Arabidopsis thaliana: one gene and its partners. The protein of the gene in region 1 interacts with the protein of each later gene in a pairwise test. Each region holds a gene or a part of one and is shown in the gene's direction. Other genes may lie near its edges.

The links.
Region 2: the proteins of BRCA2(IV) (region 1) and RAD51 interact in binary tests that used the Arabidopsis thaliana proteins (3 or more experiments, as listed by UniProt).
Region 3: the proteins of BRCA2(IV) (region 1) and DMC1 interact in binary tests that used the Arabidopsis thaliana proteins (3 or more experiments, as listed by UniProt).
Region 4: the proteins of BRCA2(IV) (region 1) and DSS1(V) interact in a two-hybrid assay, tested with the Arabidopsis thaliana proteins (one study listed by BioGRID).

Annotation. Positions count from the first base shown.
Region 1 is NC_003075.7:4,363-12,040, reverse strand, and holds the start of BRCA2(IV) (BREAST CANCER 2 like 2A), read left to right. Parts: upstream 1-1,676; coding exon 1,677-1,830; intron 1,831-1,915; coding exon 1,916-2,059; intron 2,060-2,193; coding exon 2,194-2,355; intron 2,356-2,603; coding exon 2,604-3,578; intron 3,579-3,672; coding exon 3,673-3,797; intron 3,798-3,885; coding exon 3,886-4,012; coding exon of another isoform or gene 4,013-4,040; intron 4,041-4,093; coding exon 4,094-4,127; intron 4,128-4,206; coding exon of another isoform or gene 4,207-4,227; coding exon 4,228-4,329; intron 4,330-4,402; coding exon 4,403-4,588; intron 4,589-4,665; coding exon 4,666-4,747; intron 4,748-4,846; coding exon 4,847-4,897; intron 4,898-4,984; coding exon 4,985-5,066; intron 5,067-5,169; coding exon 5,170-5,281; intron 5,282-5,364; coding exon 5,365-5,436; intron 5,437-6,185; coding exon 6,186-6,384; intron 6,385-6,452; coding exon 6,453-6,635; intron 6,636-6,921; coding exon 6,922-7,064; coding exon of another isoform or gene 7,065-7,068; exon of another isoform or gene 7,069-7,139; coding exon 7,140-7,202; intron 7,203-7,291; and 4 more. Other genes in the region: SD3 (import inner membrane translocase subunit), read left to right, coding at 25-144, 249-407. UniProt on the Arabidopsis thaliana protein: Involved in double-strand break repair and/or homologous recombination by mediating RAD51- and DMC1-facilitated DNA repair. Plays an essential role in both somatic and meiotic homologous recombination.
Region 2 is NC_003076.8:7,069,962-7,074,648, reverse strand, and holds RAD51 (RAS associated with diabetes protein 51), read left to right. Parts: upstream 1-1,682; 5' UTR 1,683-1,788; coding exon 1,789-1,884; intron 1,885-2,288; coding exon 2,289-2,433; intron 2,434-2,543; coding exon 2,544-2,654; intron 2,655-2,728; coding exon 2,729-2,820; intron 2,821-2,951; coding exon 2,952-3,046; intron 3,047-3,131; coding exon 3,132-3,245; intron 3,246-3,333; coding exon 3,334-3,463; intron 3,464-3,550; coding exon 3,551-3,672; coding exon of another isoform or gene 3,673-3,736; exon of another isoform or gene 3,737-3,767; coding exon 3,768-3,891; 3' UTR 3,892-4,158; downstream 4,159-4,687. UniProt on the Arabidopsis thaliana protein: Binds to single and double-stranded DNA and exhibits DNA-dependent ATPase activity. Unwinds duplex DNA. Component of the meiotic recombination pathway.
Region 3 is NC_003074.8:8,097,174-8,102,786, reverse strand, and holds DMC1 (DNA repair (Rad51) family protein), read left to right. Parts: upstream 1-1,854; 5' UTR 1,855-2,046; coding exon 2,047-2,063; intron 2,064-2,232; coding exon 2,233-2,315; intron 2,316-2,730; coding exon 2,731-2,822; intron 2,823-2,915; coding exon 2,916-2,987; intron 2,988-3,076; coding exon 3,077-3,115; intron 3,116-3,227; coding exon 3,228-3,285; intron 3,286-3,368; coding exon 3,369-3,414; intron 3,415-3,491; coding exon 3,492-3,537; intron 3,538-3,696; coding exon 3,697-3,758; intron 3,759-3,859; coding exon 3,860-3,926; intron 3,927-4,009; coding exon 4,010-4,102; intron 4,103-4,188; coding exon 4,189-4,257; intron 4,258-4,341; coding exon 4,342-4,420; intron 4,421-4,528; coding exon 4,529-4,695; coding exon of another isoform or gene 4,696-4,707; exon of another isoform or gene 4,708-4,748; intron 4,749-4,794; coding exon 4,795-4,839; 3' UTR 4,840-5,109; downstream 5,110-5,613. Other genes in the region: AT3G22870 (F-box and associated interaction domains-containing protein), read right to left, coding at 5,316-5,613. UniProt on the Arabidopsis thaliana protein: May participate in meiotic recombination, specifically in homologous strand assimilation, which is required for the resolution of meiotic double-strand breaks. Mediates interhomolog recombination during meiosis.
Region 4 is NC_003076.8:18,166,371-18,170,203, reverse strand, and holds DSS1(V) (DSS1 homolog on chromosome V), read left to right. Parts: upstream 1-1,820; 5' UTR 1,821-1,982; coding exon 1,983-2,073; intron 2,074-2,622; coding exon 2,623-2,753; 3' UTR 2,754-3,198; downstream 3,199-3,833. Other genes in the region: AT5G45020 (Glutathione S-transferase family protein), read right to left, coding at 30-158, 225-449, 529-705, 786-998; AT5G45000 (Disease resistance protein (TIR-NBS-LRR class) family), read right to left, coding at 3,199-3,367, 3,458-3,833. UniProt on the Arabidopsis thaliana protein: Subunit of the 26S proteasome which plays a role in ubiquitin-dependent proteolysis. Also associates with the TREX-2 complex that is required for transcription-coupled mRNA export.

The DNA of each region.
Region 1 (7,678 bases):
GACTGTGATTGTCTTGTTAACTAGGTGAGGGTTAGGATTGGATCCCCCATCAAAGGCTATGGACAAGAAACTAGAAACCGAGCTGCTCGTCAACGTATACCCAACAGAGTATTTACAGATGAAGACGGAGTGGAGCATGTTGAGGTATTTCATTGTAGAACCTCTATTGCGCTTGGATTCACATTCTTGCTATATAAATTGTCTAGAGTTTTGCAGGTTTAACATGATCAAAATTGAATATGCTTCAGGTAAACTTCTACATCCGTGGGCCTCAAGGAGCAGGGAAAGTGTACACGGAGATGTTTAAAGACAAGGCAGAGAAGGAATGGAAATACACGTACCTGATCGTAGAGATTTTAACACCTTCCCCAGCCAAATTGATGCTGGAGTCTTATTTGCCTGCCTAAAGCACTCGTATTTATGACTCAGCAGATCCGGAAAACATTCAGAAACGGCTTAGATTGTTTTAGTTGGGGTGTTGGAGAAAAGAGAGAGAATTGTGTTACACATGAGCTGTAGGAATGACTTCTTATCAAGCAACTGTTTGCTAATTGAAAAACAAGTCTAAACTGTGTTTATGATCCTCTTGGGGATGTCTAGGATTTTGAACCGAATTCAAGTTTGAGGCTTGATAATATTTTTATGCGTAAACATGAAACAGAGACATGGAGAATGCATATATCATGAAGCATCAAGTATACAATAGAGGCAATCATGGATCAAACGGTGTTTATGGTATCAGTAAGACAGCGGAGAATGCAACCGGGACCAACTCTCTCTCTGAGTTTCCCCGAGCCATCAAGGCTACAAACATCTCGACTACAAGGGCCAATCAAATTACATAATCACGGAAAAAACAAGGATAGATACAAGCAAACCTAACACTCGAGCAATAATTTGAGTAATAGAAACAAGAAACCAGAAATCGAAACGAAACGGAACGAAACACAAGATTTCCTAATTAATCTTGTGTTTAATTAAGAAAAGAAAACACAAAAAAGTTGAAAGGTTTAGTGGTGCATCCACGTAGCAAGACATTTTAGGTGTACGTCGACCATATTGTTGGCCGTTTATAGAGCATCATCCACTCTCCTCGACGAGCAAGATCATGCCGCCTCTGGATTCTTCTCATTCATCGGTGTTCCTGCGATCCCCTCCGTAGCACCCTCCGCCTCCTCAGCGCCTTCCCCGTGTAAATTACCGTTCTGCATGTTTAGAAATTTGACGTGGAAATTGTTGCAATGTAACTTTCTGTGATACTTGGCTATTGTTGCAATGTAATTTTCATTGAAGTCAGTCACCAATGACCATTGAACAGATGTTTTAAAATGTCCACGTAAGCAATTGTTGTTTGGAACGATTTTCGGTTAGCATTCGTGCCTTTTTTACCTCAATAAAAGGCCGTGGCATTAACTCACTTGTCTTGAGACGTTATGTCGTTAAAACCAAGCCCAAAGTTAATTTCGGCCCAAATCGTTTTCAACTTTCCCGCCGTCTTTTAACTTTTTAGATTTTTGGTGATGGTTTTGGGGGGAAAGAAAACAGAAAATATAAAAATAAAATTTCCGCACTCCCGACTCTTGGTGTGGTAGGCAATTCTGAATCGCGAGGTTTAGTTCTCCGGCTGAATCAGAGAACGACGAGTCGGAAAAATTCGAAACTCTAGAACTGAATAAATGTCGACGTGGCAATTATTTCCCGATTCCAGCGGCGATGGTTTCCGGTGGGAAGTCGCTGGCCGGATTCTTCAGTCCGTCTCGGATTCTACGCCAACCAAGGCGCTCGAATCGACAGCTCCTCTACCTTCTATGGCCGATCTCTTGCTCCAAGGTGATTCTTCGTTTCTTCCTTTTTTTGTCGAATCGTGTTTGTCATGTGACTCAAAGGAGATTGAATTATTATTTGATGCTTCAAGGATGCTCGAAGCTTATAGCACGGGAAGAAGCGATGCCTGGGGAAATCCCAATGTTCAGGACTGGGCTAGGGAAGTCTGTAGTTCTTAAAGAGTCTTCGATTGCTAAAGCCAAATCCATTTTAGCAGAGAAGGTTACTTACTCAGGTACTTTATGTGACAGTATTGAATTCCCTTGACTAGTCATTTGTTTCTGAATTCCCTTGAATTGTTACTTAATGTTGGTGAAAATGGTTTCCTGAAAATCTTTTGAATGTTCCATGTTCTTGGCTACACTTTAGATTTGCGGAACACAAATTGCTCAATTCCCCAAATGAGACAAGTGGATACAGCTGAAACTTTGCCAATGTTCAGGACGGCCTCGGGGAAATCTGTCCCTTTGAAAGAGTCTTCAATTGCCAAAGCTATGTCTATTCTAGGAAGTGATAAGATTATTGACTCAGGTGTGTTCTTATCTCCTCTTTTTTAAAGTCTTATTTCCAGTATAGCTGTGTGCGCGTTTACATATGAACTTGTTCTTTGTGCTGCTACTCCGTTCAACTTCCAGGTTCTTGAGTTTGGTTGTTATCAGATGAAATGATGAATAGTGAAGAACTAATCAACACACATCTTACTTCGTTTAGAGGATGAATATTAGAAGTGACATTTTTTCATAGTTTATTTGTTAATAAGATTCTTTTTGATTGTGTAGACAACGTTCTTCCCAGGGAGAGTGGATTTGGAGTTTCCAACAGTCTTTTTCAGACAGCTTCCAACAAAAAGGTTAATGTATCTTCTGCCGGTTTAGCAAGGGCCAAGGCATTGTTAGGACTAGAAGAAGATGATTTGAATGGATTTAACCATGTGAACCAGTCGTCTTCTTCCTCCCAGCAACATGGGTGGTCCGGATTAAAAACTCATGAGGAGTTTGATGCTACAGTAGTTAAGCATCATTCAGGAACTCCAGGACAATATGAGGATTATGTATCTGGGAAGAGATCTGAAGTCTTAAATCCATCTTTAAAGGTGCCTCCAACAAAGTTTCAGACTGCTGGTGGAAAATCATTGTCAGTGTCAGCTGAGGCGTTAAAACGTGCCAGAAACCTTCTTGGTGACCCTGAATTAGGGTCTTTCTTTGATGATGTAGCTGGAGGTGATCAATTTTTTACACCAGAGAAAGATGAAAGGTTAAGTGATATTGCTATAAACAATGGAAGTGCCAACAGAGGTTATATTGCTCATGAAGAAAAGACAAGCAACAAACATACGCCAAATAGTTTTGTATCTCCTCTTTGGTCATCTTCAAAGCAATTTAGTTCAGTCAACTTGGAGAACCTAGCTTCAGGGGGTAATTTGATCAAGAAATTTGATGCGGCTGTTGATGAGACCGATTGTGCTCTGAATGCTACACATGGACTATCAAATAACAGGTCTTTGGCATCAGATATGGCAGTGAATAATTCCAAGGTAAACGGTTTCATTCCAAGAGGTAGGCAACCTGGAAGGCCTGCTGATCAGCCACTTGTTGATATAACAAATCGCAGAGATACAGCTTATGCATACAATAAACAAGACAGTACCCAAAAGAAAAGGCTGGGAAAGACAGTCTCCGTTTCTCCTTTCAAAAGGCCAAGGATTTCATCCTTTAAAACTCCTTCAAAGAAACATGCTCTGCAAGCTTCAAGTGGTAATATATATGATTAATTTTTTTAAGAATTTTTTATGTTAATCTAATTGGTTGGTTCTCAGGTTTATAGTTTTGGTGTCCTGTCTATTATCAGGTTTGTCTGTTGTATCGTGTGATACACTTACTTCCAAAAAGGTGCTTTCTACAAGGTATCCAGAAAAGTCTCCAAGAGTATATATCAAGGACTTTTTTGGAATGCATCCAACAGCTACGACCAGGGTAAATTCTTTTTGTCCCTTTCAACTGTTCCTGCGTTACATAGCTTTTTTCTTCATTCACTCAAACACACTTACGAGGTGGTTTTTAGATGGATTATGTGCCAGACCATGTCAGAAGAATCAAATCAAGTAATGCAGATAAATATGTATTCTGTGATGAGTCTTCTTCAAACAAGGTTGGAGCTGAAACTTTTCTTCAAATGTTGGCTGAGTCTGGTGCTTCCTTACAACATGCATCCAGAAAGTACTTTCTCTGTCCCTTGAAATGTTAACCGTGTTATTTGTTTATTATATCAGAAAAAGTGTGTGACCGTTCTTTTGAAGCTTGCATGTGATTGTCACTCTATTAGATAGACAGTGAGTATTGATGTCTATATCTATTAACTTATCCATCACTACGTATGCACTAGGTGGGTCACTAATCACTATAGGTGGATAGTCTGGAAACTTGCATGCTACGACATATACTACCCAGCCAAATGCAGAGGAAACTTTCTGACAATCACCAATGTTCTTGAGGAACTAAAATACAGGTTTCCCAGTCTCACAACACAACTCGTTACTTAAACTCATGCAAAGTCTAACATGGTTAATCTTTCTTAATAGATATGAGAGAGAGGTCAATCATGGTCATTGCTCTGCAATCAAGAGGATTCTGAGTGGTGATGCTCCAGCTTCTTCAATGATGGTGCTCTGCATATCAGCTATTAATCCAAAGACCGATAATGATTCTCAGGAAGCACATTGTTCTGATAGTTGCAGCAATGTGAAAGTAGAACTCACTGATGGGTGGTATGAAATTGCTACTGCTATTCTGTTACCTGTTTTCTTGACTCATTTCCATATGATTTTTTTTAAAAAAATCACAGGTACTCGATGAATGCTGCTCTGGATGTCGTACTAACAAAGCAGCTGAATGCTGGCAAATTGTTTGTCGGGCAGAAGCTTCGAGTAAGTTATTTTCATGCAAGATATACTTTGTTTTGCAACACAGATTTTGGTTAGATCACTGACTTGCAGCATGCTTACGTTCTTATCTCTTATCTGAAGATCCTCGGGGCAGGACTTTCTGGCTGGGCTACCCCAACATCACCACTTGAGGTTTCCTAGACTTTGCATTTTATAAGATTTTCTGATATCTTCTCAGGTTGGTTTGTTCATAAGAGTTTCATTCAACCAAACTTTCAGGCAGTGATTTCAAGTACAATCTGTTTGTTGTTGAATATTAATGGGACATACAGAGCTCACTGGGCGGACCGACTAGGCTTCTGTAAGTAGCTTTATGCTGTGGGCCTCACTACATCATCTGAGTTCTTATTGCTTTCATATTGTTATCTTTCCATTGATCGTTTATAATCTCTTCCTTCCTCAAGGTAAAGAAATTGGTGTCCCTCTGGCTTTAAATTGTATCAAGTGCAATGGGGGTCCAGTGCCTAAAACGCTAGCTGGCATCAAACGAATATACCCCATCCTATACAAGGAAAGGTCAATATAAATGTGTGCCTGTTAATGCATTTTGGTCTTCTTTATACTTCTCGCAAAGCATTATATTTTCTTGATGTATACAGGTTAGGTGAAAAGAAGTCAATAGTTCGATCAGAGAGAATAGAAAGTAGAATTATACAGCTGCATAATCAGAGGCAAGTTTCCTTATAACTGTAGAGAGCAATTTTTAGTAACATTGATGTGATCAATTTAGCACATGCATCTCTTTCTAAGAAGTGTCAGATTAACTCATCAAAGCTAGAGACATTTTGTTACATACAACAATTTGGTGGCGTCACCAAGTTGCAGCCTTGAACCATTTGCTCTTTTCATTTTAAATCCTAACATGTTATAGAGCATATAATTATAATTATCATGCGCAAATCGGCATGTATCAATTTAGTTATATTTATCATGTGCAATTGTGCATGTATCAGTTTACATACATTATATTATCATGCAGATTATGGGAATCTTAGCGGTTCAAACGTCTTAAAGTACTGCATAACTACATATAGTTTGACTATACATAACTACTTATTTATGGCTATGATCGTAAATTTTAGTATAAATGCAATATTCACTGTTAGAATACGATATTCAAATTCGTTTTCAGAATTCAGAGAACAAAAAGTAGATAAAGTGACCTTGGTTTATGTTGTTTTGGTCAAATTTATCGTTTATAAGTTTGCTAGCTAATGTTATACTATTTGCTAACATATAATTAAATGTTGAGTGCTAATCTCGAATTTTTTATTAGAAAAGACAATCTTTGTATTTATTAGAAAAGCTTCTGGCCTTCTGATTATGGATGGTTTTCCCAACAAAAGAGCCAAAGATTGCAGTTCGTCATGGTTTATTCTCATTCATACTTGCCTTTTTTTTTTCTTTCTATTTTCCGTAGGCGCTCAGCTCTTGTTGAGGGTATTATGTGTGAGTACCAGAGAGGAATTAATGGTGTTCACAGCCAGAACGACACTGACAGCGAAGAAGGAGCCAAGATCTTTAAGCTGTTAGAGACGGCTGCTGAACCTGAATTTCTTATGGCAGAAATGAGCCCAGAGCAGTTGAGATCTTTCACTACATATAAAGCAAAATTTGAGGTAGAATAGTAATTTCCTTTTCTTGATATATTGATTACAGTAATTAACTGCTTCAATCTGAACCTCAGGCAGCCCAGCAAATGCGGAAGGAAAAATCAGTGGCAGAAACTCTGGAAGACGCTGGTTTAGGTGAAAGGAACGTCACCCCGTTCATGAGGATTAGGCTTGTTGGCCTGACGAGCTTAAGTTATGAAGGAGAGCACAATCCAAAAGAAGGCATTGTAACAATCTGGGATCCCACGGAGAGACAGGTACATTCAAATGCCTAAATCTGAATGTTTCATGCACAATTTAAAACAAGGCATTTTTCTAATGGCTAATAAGTTTACACGGACCTTATCCATATGAGCTTATATGGAACGGGGAGTTCCAAATATAAGCTTTTCAGAGTTGCTGTGGACCTCGAATGGACTGAAATGCATATCAAAGAATCGTTACCATCACTGTACTGTTGCATTAAGAGCATCATCGATTAGCTTGTTCAACTTTTTTCTTGTAGATTCTTAAAACAGTTATCATTGTCTACTACTGTGACAGAGAACCGAGCTGACAGAGGGGAAAATATACATGATGAAAGGGCTAGTACCAATAAACTCAGATTCAGAAATACTTTACTTACATGCGAGAGGGTCAAGCTCAAGATGGCAGCCTTTGTCTCCTAAAGATTCTGAAAATTTTCAGTAAGTGGTTTTCTTTAGTAGACACACTGGAATCTATCTCATTAATTTGTTCAATTTCCCTGATGATGTTTTCAGGCCCTTTTTCAACCCTCGTAAACCAATCTCTTTGTCAAATCTTGGTGAAATTCCTCTTTCAAGGTTAATCTCAGTAGTCCAAGCTTTTTATGAAACACTCTTTACCGCACTTTGCTAATCTATACCCTGTCATCTCTAATTATGTCCTTCAGTGAATTTGATATCGCTGCGTACGTTGTATATGTTGGAAATGCATACACGGATGTTCTACAAAAGAAGCAGTGGGTGTTTGTGACAGATGGATCCGCACAACATTCAGGGGAAATCTCAAACAGTCTTCTTGCTATAAGCTTCAGCACCTCATTCATGGATGATAGCTCTGTTTCCCACATCAGCCATAATTTGGTTGGATCCGTGGTATGTACAAATTCTAATCTTTGTCTAGTTTTACACAGAGAGAATATGCACCAAGAGATTAAATTTTGAAAAATATATGCTTGTTATGGGTCTTAATTTTTGGCAGGTCGGATTTTGCAATCTAATTAAAAGAGCAAAGGATGTGACAAACGAAATTTGGGTTGCTGAGGCAGCAGAGAACT
Region 2 (4,687 bases), on another chromosome or scaffold:
AATAAAACAAATTTTGACCAGTTTTTATATATAATTCTTTAGCAACTGAATTTTTTTTTTAAAAAAAAATTCATGGTTTAATTTGTTTGTGAATATTTTTTTTAAAATAATTTATGTGATTTCTAAATAAGTAAACAATTGACTTAAATATATTAGATTTCTTAGCAAGAAAAAATTGATGAAATAAATAATTTATAATTTTGAACTTATTAAATCAATAAAGGTCCATAGCTCAGTGGTAGAGCAATTGACTGCAGATCAATAGGTCACCGGTTTGAACCTGGTTGGGCCCTATATTTTTTCAATTTACCAATAATTTTTTAGAAGAGCTTTAGTTATATATTTGATTAGCATTTAGCATCAAGTAGTTGACTAATCTTATATTTCAACGTTTTAGCTAGCAATTTTTCATCTTGAATAAAACAAATTTTGATCAGTTTTTGTATATAATTCTTTAGTAACTGAATTTTTTTTAAAAAAAATTCATGGTTTAATTTGTTTGTGAATTTTGTTTTTTAAATAATTTATGTGATTTCTAAATAAGTAAACAATTGACTTAACTATATTAGATTTCTTAGCAAAAAAAAATTGATGAAATAAATAATTTACAATTTTGAACTTATTAAATCAATAAGGGTCCATAGCTCAGTGATAGAGCAATTGACTGCAGATCAATAGGTCACCGGTTCGAACCCGGTTGGGCCCTATATGTTTTCAGTTTACCAATAATTTTTTATAAGAGTTTTAGTTATATATTTGATTAGCATTTAGCGTCAAGTAGTTCACTAATCTTATATTTCAAGGTTTTAGCTAGCAATTTTTCATCTTGAATAAAACAAATTTTGACCTGTTTTTGCATATAATTCTTTAACAACTGAAATTTTTTTAAAAAACTTTCATGGTTTAATTTGTTTGTGAATTTTTTTTTATAAATAATTTATGTGATTTCTAAATAAGTAAACAATTGACTTAACTATATTAGATTTCTTAGCAAAAAATAATTCATGAAATACATAGTTTATAATTTTGAACTTATTAAATCAATAAGGGTTCATAGCTCAGTGGTAGAGCAATTGACTGCAGATCAATAGGTCACCGGTTCGAACCCGGTTGGGCCCTATATGTTTTAGTTTACCAAAAAAAATTAAATATCATCTTGAATAAAGAAAATTGACAAATTTTGTGATATTTGTAATATTTTATTTTTGTTATAATAAGTGATTACTACATTGTTGGAATTGTGGTGGTTCTCGGCGGTCAAACACCTAGGTACCATTTGGTTGACATTCAAACACCTAGGTATCACTCGGCGGTCAAACACCTATTGTTTTTACAAAACGTTAATTTAGTGTTTTAAAAATATATAATTTTAAGTAAAAATAATTTAAAATAAAAAAATAATTTTGAGAATCCATAATTCGATCAACTTTGATAATATCTAACATTTATAATTTCATGCATTTAACTGAAAATTTAAAATTACTATGGTACTTAATTAATAATAAAAATGAGGAGGATTTTGTTGTTGTTTTTGAGTATTTTATAGAATAAGAATTTGGGCTTTAATAGCCTTTAAAGCCCAATATGATCAAGGCCGAGGAAAAGCTGACCCAAACGTAATCGAGACTTGTTGAAGAAGCCTTTGCCCTCATCGTCGTCTTGTATAATAATTTTGGTTGTGGCGCTTCTTTCAATTTGTTTTCAGTTTCGCCATTTCCCTCCACTCTCAAGCTCTCTTTTGCTTCTCTCGCTTTCTCTGGTGACCCGAATCTGCTCTGATTGAGAGAAATGACGACGATGGAGCAGCGTAGAAACCAGAATGCTGTCCAACAACAAGACGATGAAGAAACCCAGCACGGACCTTTCCCTGTCGAACAGCTTCAGGTTCAATTTCTGCAGATTTCTTTCATTTGTTGTGGAAATTTACCTTCGCAGTCTATACGCTTCATCAGATCTTGCGCTAATTGAAATGGGTTCGGCTTTAATTCACTAAAAATTTCTGCTTTTTTTGTACATCGCGATGTGAAATAGGTGTGAATCTGGGCGAGAATTGAGTTTCGCTACTGTCTGTTAGGCGAATTGGTTTTAGGGGTTCGTTTAATTCAGAAAAAAATCGACACTTTTTGGGGGTTTTATCCTTTTCTGGGGAACTTCTCTATTGCTGTGACTCCAGTGTCATATAATCTCTATAGTTCTTCTCAATTCGTGTTCATAAAAGGGAGATGCATCAGTGTGTTTTGTGTTATGATTATATGCTATTTCATCTCTTTAAATCTTCAAAACTTCAGGCAGCAGGTATTGCTTCTGTTGATGTAAAGAAGCTTAGGGATGCTGGTCTCTGTACTGTTGAAGGTGTTGCTTATACTCCGAGGAAGGATCTCTTGCAGATTAAAGGAATTAGTGATGCCAAGGTTGACAAGATTGTAGAAGCAGGTATTACACATGTAGAAACTTTTTGCTTTCCTTCTCTGTTAAATACATAACACCTCTTTGATACTCTTAGAGTTAATGTGTGTTCTTATTTGTGTTTTCTTCTGTGATAGCTTCAAAGCTAGTTCCTCTGGGGTTCACTAGTGCGAGCCAGCTCCATGCTCAGAGACAGGAAATTATTCAGATTACCTCTGGATCACGGGAGCTCGATAAAGTTCTAGAAGGTTGGTGCTGGTTTCTGGTGCATCTTATAACGGCATTTTGTTATTGTGATCTTACTTTGCCGTATGCTCAACAGGAGGTATTGAAACTGGTTCCATCACAGAGTTATATGGTGAGTTCCGCTCTGGAAAGACTCAGCTGTGCCATACACTGTGTGTGACTTGTCAAGTAAGAACCCTGTTCCTATACCACTCAGTTATTGTTGCTTATCTAGCAGAAATCAGTGATCTTGTCTTTCTTCTTACAATTTCCAAACCTGAGAAAGATATTCACATTAAGGTTCACGTTTGAATGATTAGCTTCCCATGGATCAAGGAGGTGGAGAGGGAAAGGCCATGTACATTGATGCTGAGGGAACATTCAGGCCACAAAGACTCTTACAGATAGCTGACAGGTATGTTATTCTTGTAACACACATGAGATCACAATAGCGTTCTTGAGACGGAATCATCTGTAAGAAATCAAATGAAATGATGCAGGTTTGGATTAAATGGAGCTGATGTACTAGAAAACGTTGCCTATGCGAGGGCGTATAATACAGATCATCAGTCAAGGCTTTTGCTTGAAGCAGCATCAATGATGATTGAAACAAGGTGTGTTGAGTTTATTTTGGTGTTCAGTTCCGTTATGTCTATCATGAGAGTGCTAACTTTTAAAGTTACGATGACCCTATTGGCACAGGTTTGCTCTCCTGATTGTCGATAGTGCTACCGCTCTCTACAGAACAGATTTCTCTGGAAGGGGAGAGCTTTCGGCTCGACAAATGCATCTTGCAAAGTTCTTGAGAAGTCTTCAGAAGTTAGCAGATGAGGTGAACATTCAGTACTAACTGTTTCTTTTCCAATATTGCTCTGAGACACCATCCTGAAGTATTCTCTCTTATGTTTAATGGCTCTAGTTTGGTGTGGCTGTTGTTATAACAAACCAAGTAGTTGCGCAAGTAGATGGTTCAGCTCTTTTTGCTGGTCCCCAATTTAAGCCGATTGGTGGGAATATCATGGCTCATGCCACCACAACAAGGTCTGTAATGTTTGCAAATTCGACAAATCCATGTTTCTTAGTGTTTTTTGTTAGGGTTCGTTAGGAAAGTGTGTTTGTTATGATAATTGATACAGGTTGGCGTTGAGGAAAGGAAGAGCAGAGGAGAGAATCTGTAAAGTGATAAGCTCGCCATGTTTGCCAGAAGCGGAAGCTCGATTTCAAATATCTACAGAAGGTGTAACAGATTGCAAGGATTGATGTTTTTGGCCACAACAATGCCTTGCTTCTCTCTGCCTTATGTGCTTTTTTTTAGCAACCCCTTCACTTGTATTGATGTCAAAAAACCGTTTTCTTTTGTTTTTGTTTTTAACTGTTGATCATAGTGTAAGCGTACAAGTAAGTGATGATGGAGCAAAAGAGCTTTGTAAGTAAAGTTTTTCGGGTAATGAACCTTTTGTGTTTCACAAACGCACACAGCCTCGTGGTTTATACAACACTACTAAATTTTAACCCACGGTATACCGCGGAGACAATTTATTTTTTAAAGTTACTATATATAAAAGTTTGCAAATTATATTTATCGTAAAAATATTTTTATTTTATAGTTTACGATTGTTATTAAGTAACGTCCCGCCAATCCGTCCCGTAAAAAAAACTCACTGATTTTATTTATGATATGTTTATGAATCATTGTCTAAATATTTTTTAATTTTGTAGTAATTAAATGCTATCTAATATCTCTGCGGTTTGATGATTATAATCGAATTATTATAGTCATGTAGAAAAACAATATCAAAATGATAATTTTGTAGTAATTAAATGATATTAAATATTTCGGAAGTTTTATTTTAATAACTAATCGTGTAGTTAATGTGAAGAGATTTTGGGAAGATTGTCAAATATTTAATTCAAAGATTTTCTTTCTAATTATCAAAAACAATTATTAAATGCCAGTGGCAGCCACTGTAAATAAATTCCAACTCTAGGATTTATTTCACAAAGTGGCTGCAAAAATGTATATATAGATATATTACTTAGTGAACAATCAAATATT
Region 3 (5,613 bases), on another chromosome or scaffold:
CGAAAACAATAACTAAATATATATCTTAACCAAACAATTAAAAAAATAAAAGAATTTAGATACGTAGTTATTAATATAGACCATTAGATTGAAAAATAAAAATTAAGATCTATGGCTGAGATTAAAGACAATAAATGGATTAATTTTTTGATGTTAAAATCTGATTAGAAAAAGGTATTTCTCTTCGTCTCTAGAACTAAATCTCTCTCTCTAAAAAAACAATCGTTTCTCCCTTTCTCCTTCCTGAAGATCGTTTTTTCATAAATCCATAGTAGTTTAAAAACGAAGCAGAGAGATGTTGAAAATCGTTTCTCATGAAATTAATCGATTATTCTCTGTGAAGTTCTTTAATCCACACAACTTTCCTCATGAACATGATAATAGTAGTAAATGGAGGTTTTTCCTATGGTTACTCTAGACGAAGGAGGATCTCCTTGTGTTGGACAGGTTTGTGATTTCTTTCCATGGATTAAAAAAATTTGATTGTTTGTTTATGATGAACGATTCTTTGGCTACGGAAGAGTGTCATGGAGTTCTGGCGAATTCTTTGGCTATGTTTGGTGATTTCGTTTTTAATCAAGTTGGGAATCAATAGGAAACAACTAAGCATACAACATAGATTAGAAGAGATATCAAGATGGATCTAATTTAAGTAAGATTTGGCGACTAATTCTAGATGATTAGGGTTATTTGTGATTTATTACAAGGCATTTGTGTTCTCATTGATTTGGCGAGTAATTCTGTATGACTAGGGTTATTTGTGTTTTCTTAAAAAGAATTTGTGTTCTTGTTGAAATCTTGTTCATTGGAATTATTTGTGTTTGGTAAATCTTCATTGGTGGCTAAGGATGTGTTTGTAGCTCTTACGGCGTTTGTTATTGGTGATGTCCATTATGGATGGCAAATTATGGATGGCACATTATGGATGATGAATCATGGATGACATATTATGGATGACGCATCATGGATTGTATATTATGGATTGATATGGTGAGATTTGTAAATCTTTTGGTCTTACATGTTAAGAGTAAAAGATGAAGAATTGGAGAAGCATGTCTAACATCCTAAAAACAAGCTATATGCGGTTGATTTGCTACAAATAATTTTTTGGTATCCATAATAACAAATCCATTTAAATATATCCATTCAGAAACCTTTCTACTGATCCGTATCCATTCTATATACCATGTCAATAATAATAGGAGATTCGATTAACCGTGTTTTGTAAAGAAACCAAAGTTCCATGTCCATAAGGTTTTGAAGGTGGAGGTCTCTGCAAACTGAAAAAAAAATCAACAAACAATTTTTTGGTGTCCATAATAACGAATCCATTTAAATATATCCATTCGGAAACCTTTTTACTGATCTATATCCATTTTATATAACATGTCCATGATAACAGGAGATTCGATTAACTGAAATCTCGATGCTACGTAGATGAAACGAGTTTGACACATGAGAGAGAGCAAAAATCAAATCAAACCGCCATTGTTGAAGAAGAAGAAGTTTCTTCTCATTTTTTACAAAGATGAAGAGAGAGAGAGGTGAAGAGAGAGAGAGAGATGAAGAGAGAGAGAGAGAGAAAGAGAGAGATGAAGAGAGAGAGAGAAAGAGAGAAAACGTGGGTTAAGATAATATTTTAGTTAAGAGGGTATTTTAGTAAAAAAACATAAAAAAGTGCCTAATCTTTTGAAAGTGCCTAAACACAGAAATAGTTTTAAAAAAGTGTTTAAGAGTGTAATATTCTCTTTTTTTCACCTAGATTCCTTCTATTGACCGTCGATAGACGGATGATAACTATGACGTGGCATTATCGCAGCCATCAAACAAAGTCATGTATAACAAAGAAGAGCACACAAACGAAAACAAATTCAGTTGCGGAACCCAAATTCAAATCAACGGAATTAGAATCACGCTTTCAATTCCGTAACCCGCCATTAAAAACCTTGAACCCTCGAAGCAAATCGAGCAAAGATTTTCAAATTTCGAATTTCAAAATTCTATCTCTCTCACTCTTCCAAGCTTAGAGACTCTTAGAGCGAGAAAATGATGGCTTCTCTTAAGTAAGTGATTGATCTCTCTCTTTCTCTCTACTACGATTCTTCTTCTTCTTCTCCATTCATCGTTTTGGTTTAAGCTTTGTCTTAAGTTTTGTGTACCTGACTCGCTTCTTCTCGTTTTTATTTTGTTTTCCGATGATCCTGATCTGTTTGTGTTGTTTCGGATTCATAGAGCTGAAGAAACGAGCCAGATGCAGCTCGTTGAGCGTGAAGAAAATGATGAAGACGAAGATCTATTTGAGATGATTGACAAATGTAAGATTTGAATTCGTTTTCAACTTTTACGATTCTTCACTTTTTCGTTTCAAATCTTCATCATCTGTTTTGGAATCGTCTCTGTGTGTTTATCTCTTCTAATTTCGCCCACTTTTGTTTATCTAAACCTCGTTGTTGCTTAATCGCTGGGTCTTATGAAATCAGATCTAGAATCGTTCATCTAATTTGAGGAATGTTCTCGCAATCTCTGTTAGATTTCGAATTTAAGTATGAATCTAGGATCGATATTGATTTCTGAACATGGTTCTCCTTGGTAACGAATAGTTTATGGTCCATTTCGTTTACTGTTTGTGGAATTCGAGTGTATATTAGTGTACATAGTTGTTTGATTTCTGTATCTGGCTAAAATCTCTAGCTGATTTGATCTCGGGACTTTTATTTTTGCTTGTGTCAGTGATCGCACAAGGTATAAACGCAGGAGATGTGAAAAAGCTACAAGAAGCTGGGATCCATACCTGCAATGGTCTCATGATGCATACCAAGAAGGTATTAACCAGCTTATTTAGCTTTGCTCATTGGGTTTATACTATGTAGATGTTGGTTGCATGAGTCGATTGTTTAAACTTATGTTTGATGCAGAACCTTACTGGAATCAAAGGTTTATCTGAGGCCAAAGTTGACAAAATCTGTGAAGCTGCTGAGAAAATTGTGGTAAGTTTAACGTTTCCATCTGTTGTTGCTATATCAGTGTTACTTTCTGCATTTGCGTCATTTTAATTGTCAAACCATTTCTCCTTCAGAACTTTGGATATATGACTGGAAGTGATGCTCTTATAAAGGTTAGACTCATTGTTGCTTGATCCCACTAACAGAACTATTAGATTTTGATATCCTATTCAACATTTCATATTAGATATTGAAACTTACAAGTTGTTTTTTAATTGTTTACAGAGGAAATCAGTTGTAAAAATCACTACAGGGTGTCAAGCTCTCGATGATCTCTTAGGAGGTATGCTAAGTTTTGCTTTAGATTTTTGCCATCTTGATCACACTACTTAAGTTCTGGTTTAATTATTTCACATTTCTTGCTAGGTGGAATTGAAACCTCAGCCATCACAGAGGCTTTTGGGGAATTTAGGTGAGAAACAGCTGAGCCAAGCTCTATAAGTTTCCTGTTAATAGCTTGTATTCTTATAGAGTTTAATTTCACTTCAGGTCTGGGAAAACCCAATTAGCACATACCCTTTGTGTCACTACGCAGGTTGGTTTCTTTCCTACAGTCTCAATATGAAATATATGTTGTCTTGTTTACATTTCAGAGGCATGAGATGAGATTTTACTTTCTTTCAGCATATAAACCATTGAGGTACTCTGTCTCTCAATGTCATTGGTATTCATTTTCTGTATTGATGTATTACAGCTACCTACAAACATGAAAGGAGGGAATGGAAAAGTGGCATACATTGACACAGAGGGAACCTTGTATCCTTAATATCTTATAACAAATCTTCTGACCAGATCTTGTGTCTTCATTAGATTGTTTCTATATTCCATGATTTTTCCTTAACCCCTAAATTTTGTAGCCGTCCTGATAGGATTGTCCCAATTGCTGAAAGATTTGGAATGGATCCAGGAGCTGTGCTTGACAATGTAAGCATTATTAACCTCACATCTTTACTTACTCTCAGGACTGTGACTGACATTCAAAAATCTTATTCATCTTGATATAACAGATCATTTATGCTCGTGCTTATACCTATGAGCATCAGTACAACTTGCTTCTTGGCCTTGCTGCAAAAATGTCTGAGGAACCATTTAGGATTCTGGTAAGTAAAACATGTCTGATAATTTTAGTTTAGTTATCCATTCAAATATGAGTTAAATTAGCTGAGTTTTCTGACCTTGTTTCCAGATTGTTGACTCGATCATTGCTTTATTCCGAGTGGATTTCACTGGAAGAGGAGAACTCGCAGACCGCCAGGTTAAACTTGCCTCCCACAACATTACTTACATTATCATTGGCACAATCTGGCTTTGCTCAATAGTCCCAGTTTCTGTGTTGCAGCAAAAACTAGCTCAGATGCTTTCCAGGCTAATCAAAATTGCAGAGGAGTTCAACGTTGCTGTCTACATGACTAACCAAGGTTTACTTTACACTAGTTTGATATAATGAGATAAAGCATCAATTCTTTTTTTGTTTCTTGGTTGCACTAACTTAGCAAGTATCATCTGTTTCATTTGGTGGTTTGCAGTCATAGCTGACCCAGGTGGTGGAATGTTCATATCAGACCCAAAAAAGCCAGCAGGTGGTCATGTACTAGCTCACGCAGCCACCATCAGGCTCTTGTTCAGGAAAGGCAAAGGCGATACACGTGTCTGCAAAGTCTACGATGCTCCGAATCTCGCTGAAGCTGAAGCCATATCCTTTTAACCAAATCCACACACACACACTTGCTTTGTTTTTGATTATTTCATATAATGCAATGACTTCATTTTTTTCCTTAACTGAAGAAATCACAGTTTCCAGATTACTCAAGGAGGCATTGCTGACGCGAAGGATTAGAGGAGCGAACTCTTTTATATGTCATAATCACGAATTATGTCTGTTCTTAACTTGCTGCTTGTTTCTGCATCGAATCAGACGTTTTAATTAAGTCTTTTTATTCTTAGTTTCTTGTTTACCAAATAAGACGATCATTACTTGATTCGGCTTACAAAACCAATCTATGTATCTGATAAAGCTGCAAACAAAACAACTCTGGTTCGTTTGTAAAAAGACAATAATGGCTTTATAACAAGTAACAAGTAAAAGTTCATTATGATCATTGATTAATCAGTTGCACTGAATAATGTGTTATTCCTCTCCAACTTATTCATCTCTATTTTAGTGGATGAAAAAACTCTTTAAATTTCTCTTTTTTATTCATCTAAGTAACGTAAAATAGAAATGAAAGGGATGAATAATTTTAATCATCTCGTTTTCTCACTTTGCCAGTTTTTTCCTGCACATCAATCGATTTCATAATTGCTGCAAAACTCTCATATTGTTTTGTCTCCTCTTTTGGGTTCCATGGCAATATGATACTTTTCAAGTTCGACAAGTCTCATCATGTTTCGCTTATATCGACGGTTTTCTGAACTGCTTTGTCTTCTCCTTTTGCATCCTGGAGGTTGCTTGATTTTCACTAAACTTGGAACATAAGGACACACATATAGCCAACTATCTTGGTGGGCAGGTTCTCCGAGATCAACATCTCGGACTTGTCCAGCCTCTCCAATGATGAAAACTTTGTCGCGTTTCAACGGTTGCCCGAAAATCACGGCGACTTTGTTCACC
Region 4 (3,833 bases), on another chromosome or scaffold:
AAACAAAGAAGACAAGTTGACTCATATACCTCATCAAATCTTATGAGAGTGACGAATAATCGGATATCTGCTTCAGTGAAAGTGTTTCCGCAGATGTATCGTTGTTTTCCGAGTACTTCCTCACATCTATCTACTGCTTCATATAACTGGTTCACTGCCTGGAGAGAAAAGGGATCAATTTTTGAATCCCTGTTCAAATGTTTAAGACATTGAGGGATATATACCTCATTATAGGGTTCTTGTTTCCTTGCAAACCCACATTTATAAACACCGTTGTTTATTCCGTTGAAAACCCATCCGTTAGTCTCGTTGATTACGTCTCTGAGATGAGAAGGATAAAGGTCAAGTGACGGGGTTTTCGCAATACCATTGAACTCAGTGTTGAACATCCGGATTATCTCTGAACTCTCATTGTTAACAACAGTCTTAAGCTTCTTATCCCAAAGAACCTAACATAATAACAAAACAAACATTCAAGAAACAGGACAAAGAAAGATTAAAGAGTTCACCAAAGAGATCAAAACTTACAGGAACAGTGTACTTCCCTTCATAGTTTGGGCTAGCAATCTCGTAGAGTTCTCTCACACTTTTGGCACCATTAAGATAGTCAGGCTCAGCTCCAGGGAGCTCGGTATCCGAATCCGGGAAAACCCATCCTCTATGATCATCAGTTTCCTTGGTTCTTCCCCAAATGGCATGAACCGACTAATCAAATCAAATAAAACAGAAATGCTTCAGGTTAACAAAGTCTTCTAATTCGATATGAGCAATGAATTTGTACTAACCGAGAAGGTGATTGCTTCATCAAGTCCTTTGATCTTTAAGTAAGAAAGACATCTACAAGCCCATGGACAAGCATAAGATATGTAAAGATGGTATCTTCCTGATTCAGCTGGAAACTGAGAATCAGGATCTTGTGAAACAAAGTTGCGGAATGTTGATGCTGTTCTTACAAAAGCTCCAGATTCTGATGTCTCATCAACCCCAGACCTAGCCATTTTGCTACTAATAAAAAATCAAACACGAAAATTCACATGACAAACGAAAAGAATAAAAATTTCAGAATGCACAATTTTTCTTTTTCACCTCAATAGAGTGAGTAAAGTTGAAAACTTTGAGAGATTTCTTATAGATGGTCACTTGTCACATAATCAATCTCAATTTTCTCTAGGTAAAGGATCACAGGAAACGAATCAAAGCATCAAAAAGTTCAGAAATTTCGAGTAGGGTTTTACTTAATTATCTCATTAGAGCTAGAAAAAGGTTAAAATAAAATGTTCATAATTCATAGCCTTCAAATATGATTTTCAACATTTATGGATCATTGGGCCAAAATCAAACCCAGAACTCAGAAAATGTCTAACAAGAACATGATTCATGCAGAGAAGAAGATAAGAGACAAAACCTGTTGACGACGATGTTATGTATTTGGCGTCGAATGTCGCTGTTTTGTGGCGATAAGGTTAAAGAAGAAAAAGTGAGCTTTAAGGAAAAATGGTAATGAGGGATGTCATCTTATAGTGAAAGAGAAGGAATCCGAAAAAGGACTTTGCTTTGTCTTCACTGCTCTGTCACGCCTAGCGAGTTAACTCAGACTAACGAGTTGACTCAGCTGGGTTCTGTGGGGAAAGCGTGACAACTTTTGGACCGGTTTGTATGTCATGGATTTGGTCAAGACGAATGCGACTATTGGACCGGTCTAAAACAGCTTCTTTTAAACCTCAATCGGATATTTTTAATATTGGGTCGGATTCGGTATGAATCATATAAGATTCGGGTCGGATTCGGTATGAATCATATAAGATTCGGGTCGGTTATTGGAAATTGGTAATTTTCCCCTTCTTCAAGTTAGACCCAAAACGAAAAAAAGGTTCGTTTAAAGAGCTCTGGTTGGGTTTAACTTGGAGGAATTAATCGAGTTTGGTGATCTTCTTCTTAGGTTTTTTTCTCGATCTGGTTGATTTGCTTAAACATCTGTAACTATGGCGGCAGAACCCAAGGCAGCTGTCGAAGTGGTGAAGGTGGATCTATTCGAGGACGACGATGAGTTCGAGGAATTTGAAATCAACGAAGGTGATTTTTTTGTTTTATACTAATTGCTTCTTTGATTTTCGAAATTGATTCATCATCGGTTATAAAATTAATGGAGATAAGAGCAAATTTCATTAGCAACTGATTTGGTGATTGATTAGGTTTTGGTATAAATACAAATTTTGATTCTGCACTGTCTTATACAAACTAAGATAGTCTCTATTGTATGAAGTTGGGTAGTTCTGATGCGAAAACGGATCTGTTTGATATATGTTTATGATGATGAAGCTACGGTCTCATAAACTTGATGGATAATAGTGCAGTTTTATGAGCAAACTACTGGTGATTATGTTTGCATTATTAATCGGCAAGGCTTCATGAGCTAAAGGGCCTAAAGGTTATGGTGGATTTAGGAATTATTTGGGGGCATTGAGTAGCTTGGGGGAGAGTTGTACAATTCAACTTAAGCTAGGATCAGTTTCTGATTTTAACAGATTTTGCTTTGCAATGTTAGTTCAGTCTTGAGATTTAACAAATAGCTTTATTGAAAGAATTGATAAAGATGGATATTTTTATTGTTATGTTTGGCAGATTGGTTGGAGAAAGAGGAAGTGAAGGAAGTTAGCCTGCAGTGGGAAGATGACTGGGATGATGATGATGTCAGTGACGACTTCTCGCGTCAGTTAAAGAAGGAGCTTGAGAATGCTAGTGAGAAGAAATGAGGTCCAAGATTGCGAGAAAGGCAGGTCTTCTCATTTAGGGAACCTTGGCTTTTTTGTTTGAATTGCATCCTTTGGTTTATCGTAGCATGTATCGGTTCTCCTTTTCCTTTACACATTATACTCTTCCTTGGATGCAAATTTCTCGTCTTTGAAGATGATAAATTTGAGCTGATAGTAATTCTATTCTGATAATCACCATCTTCTCTCAACACAGTGCGGTGTGGACATGGATTGGTTTACTATGTACATCACAAAATAACCGTAGAGATAACATTCAAATAGACATAGCTGATGTGCGTCACAACATTACATATAGTGTTAGCGTCCACAAGCCAGAAGCGAGAAAACATCATTTTGTTTCTAATATTAACATAAAATCTTGTGCAAGACAACAACCAAAAACGGAAAGCCTAATAACAACTTACCAATTTTCAAAAAGTTCACATCAGGCATAGGCATAGGGTATATGAAGACAGCAAAGATAAATGTAGCAGTCAAAGCCCTCAAGAAAACTTCTCCAATACCTAATTTTCTTCTTCTTCTTCTTCTTTGGAGAGTTTGGTAGTAATCTTGTAACCTCTTTAACAATGGCACCGACAAGAGCAAATTCGTTCCTGCAAAATGAGTGAAAGAAACTGATTAGACGACCTTACCACAAAGTCGATCTTACTACAAAACAAGAGTTCTATTAAATATTCTATTACATGTGTGCTTCCAAGCTCAAGCCAATCCTCCCTGTAACAGTAGATGACTTCAAGGATTTTTCCCAACTTTCAACCATCATTGGTTCCATAGCAAATCTCTCTTTTGTGTTTCTAAAATGTATTCCAAACTCTCCCTCAAGTCTTCTCACTTCGTTTGTTTTCACACTGTAGAAGACTGGAATGACCACGAGTTTTCCTTCCTTGGCAAGCTCTTCCATCTTCACAAGCTCGTTCAAACACCGATATGACTCAGAATACCTCTTTGAGAAGATGGCAAGCGCGATATTCGAGTTCTCTATACTCATGAACACTTCTTGTTTTTGTCCACTTCCTATAAGCTTGAAGCTGTCTTTGAAGACATTGATCCCTGAGTCTC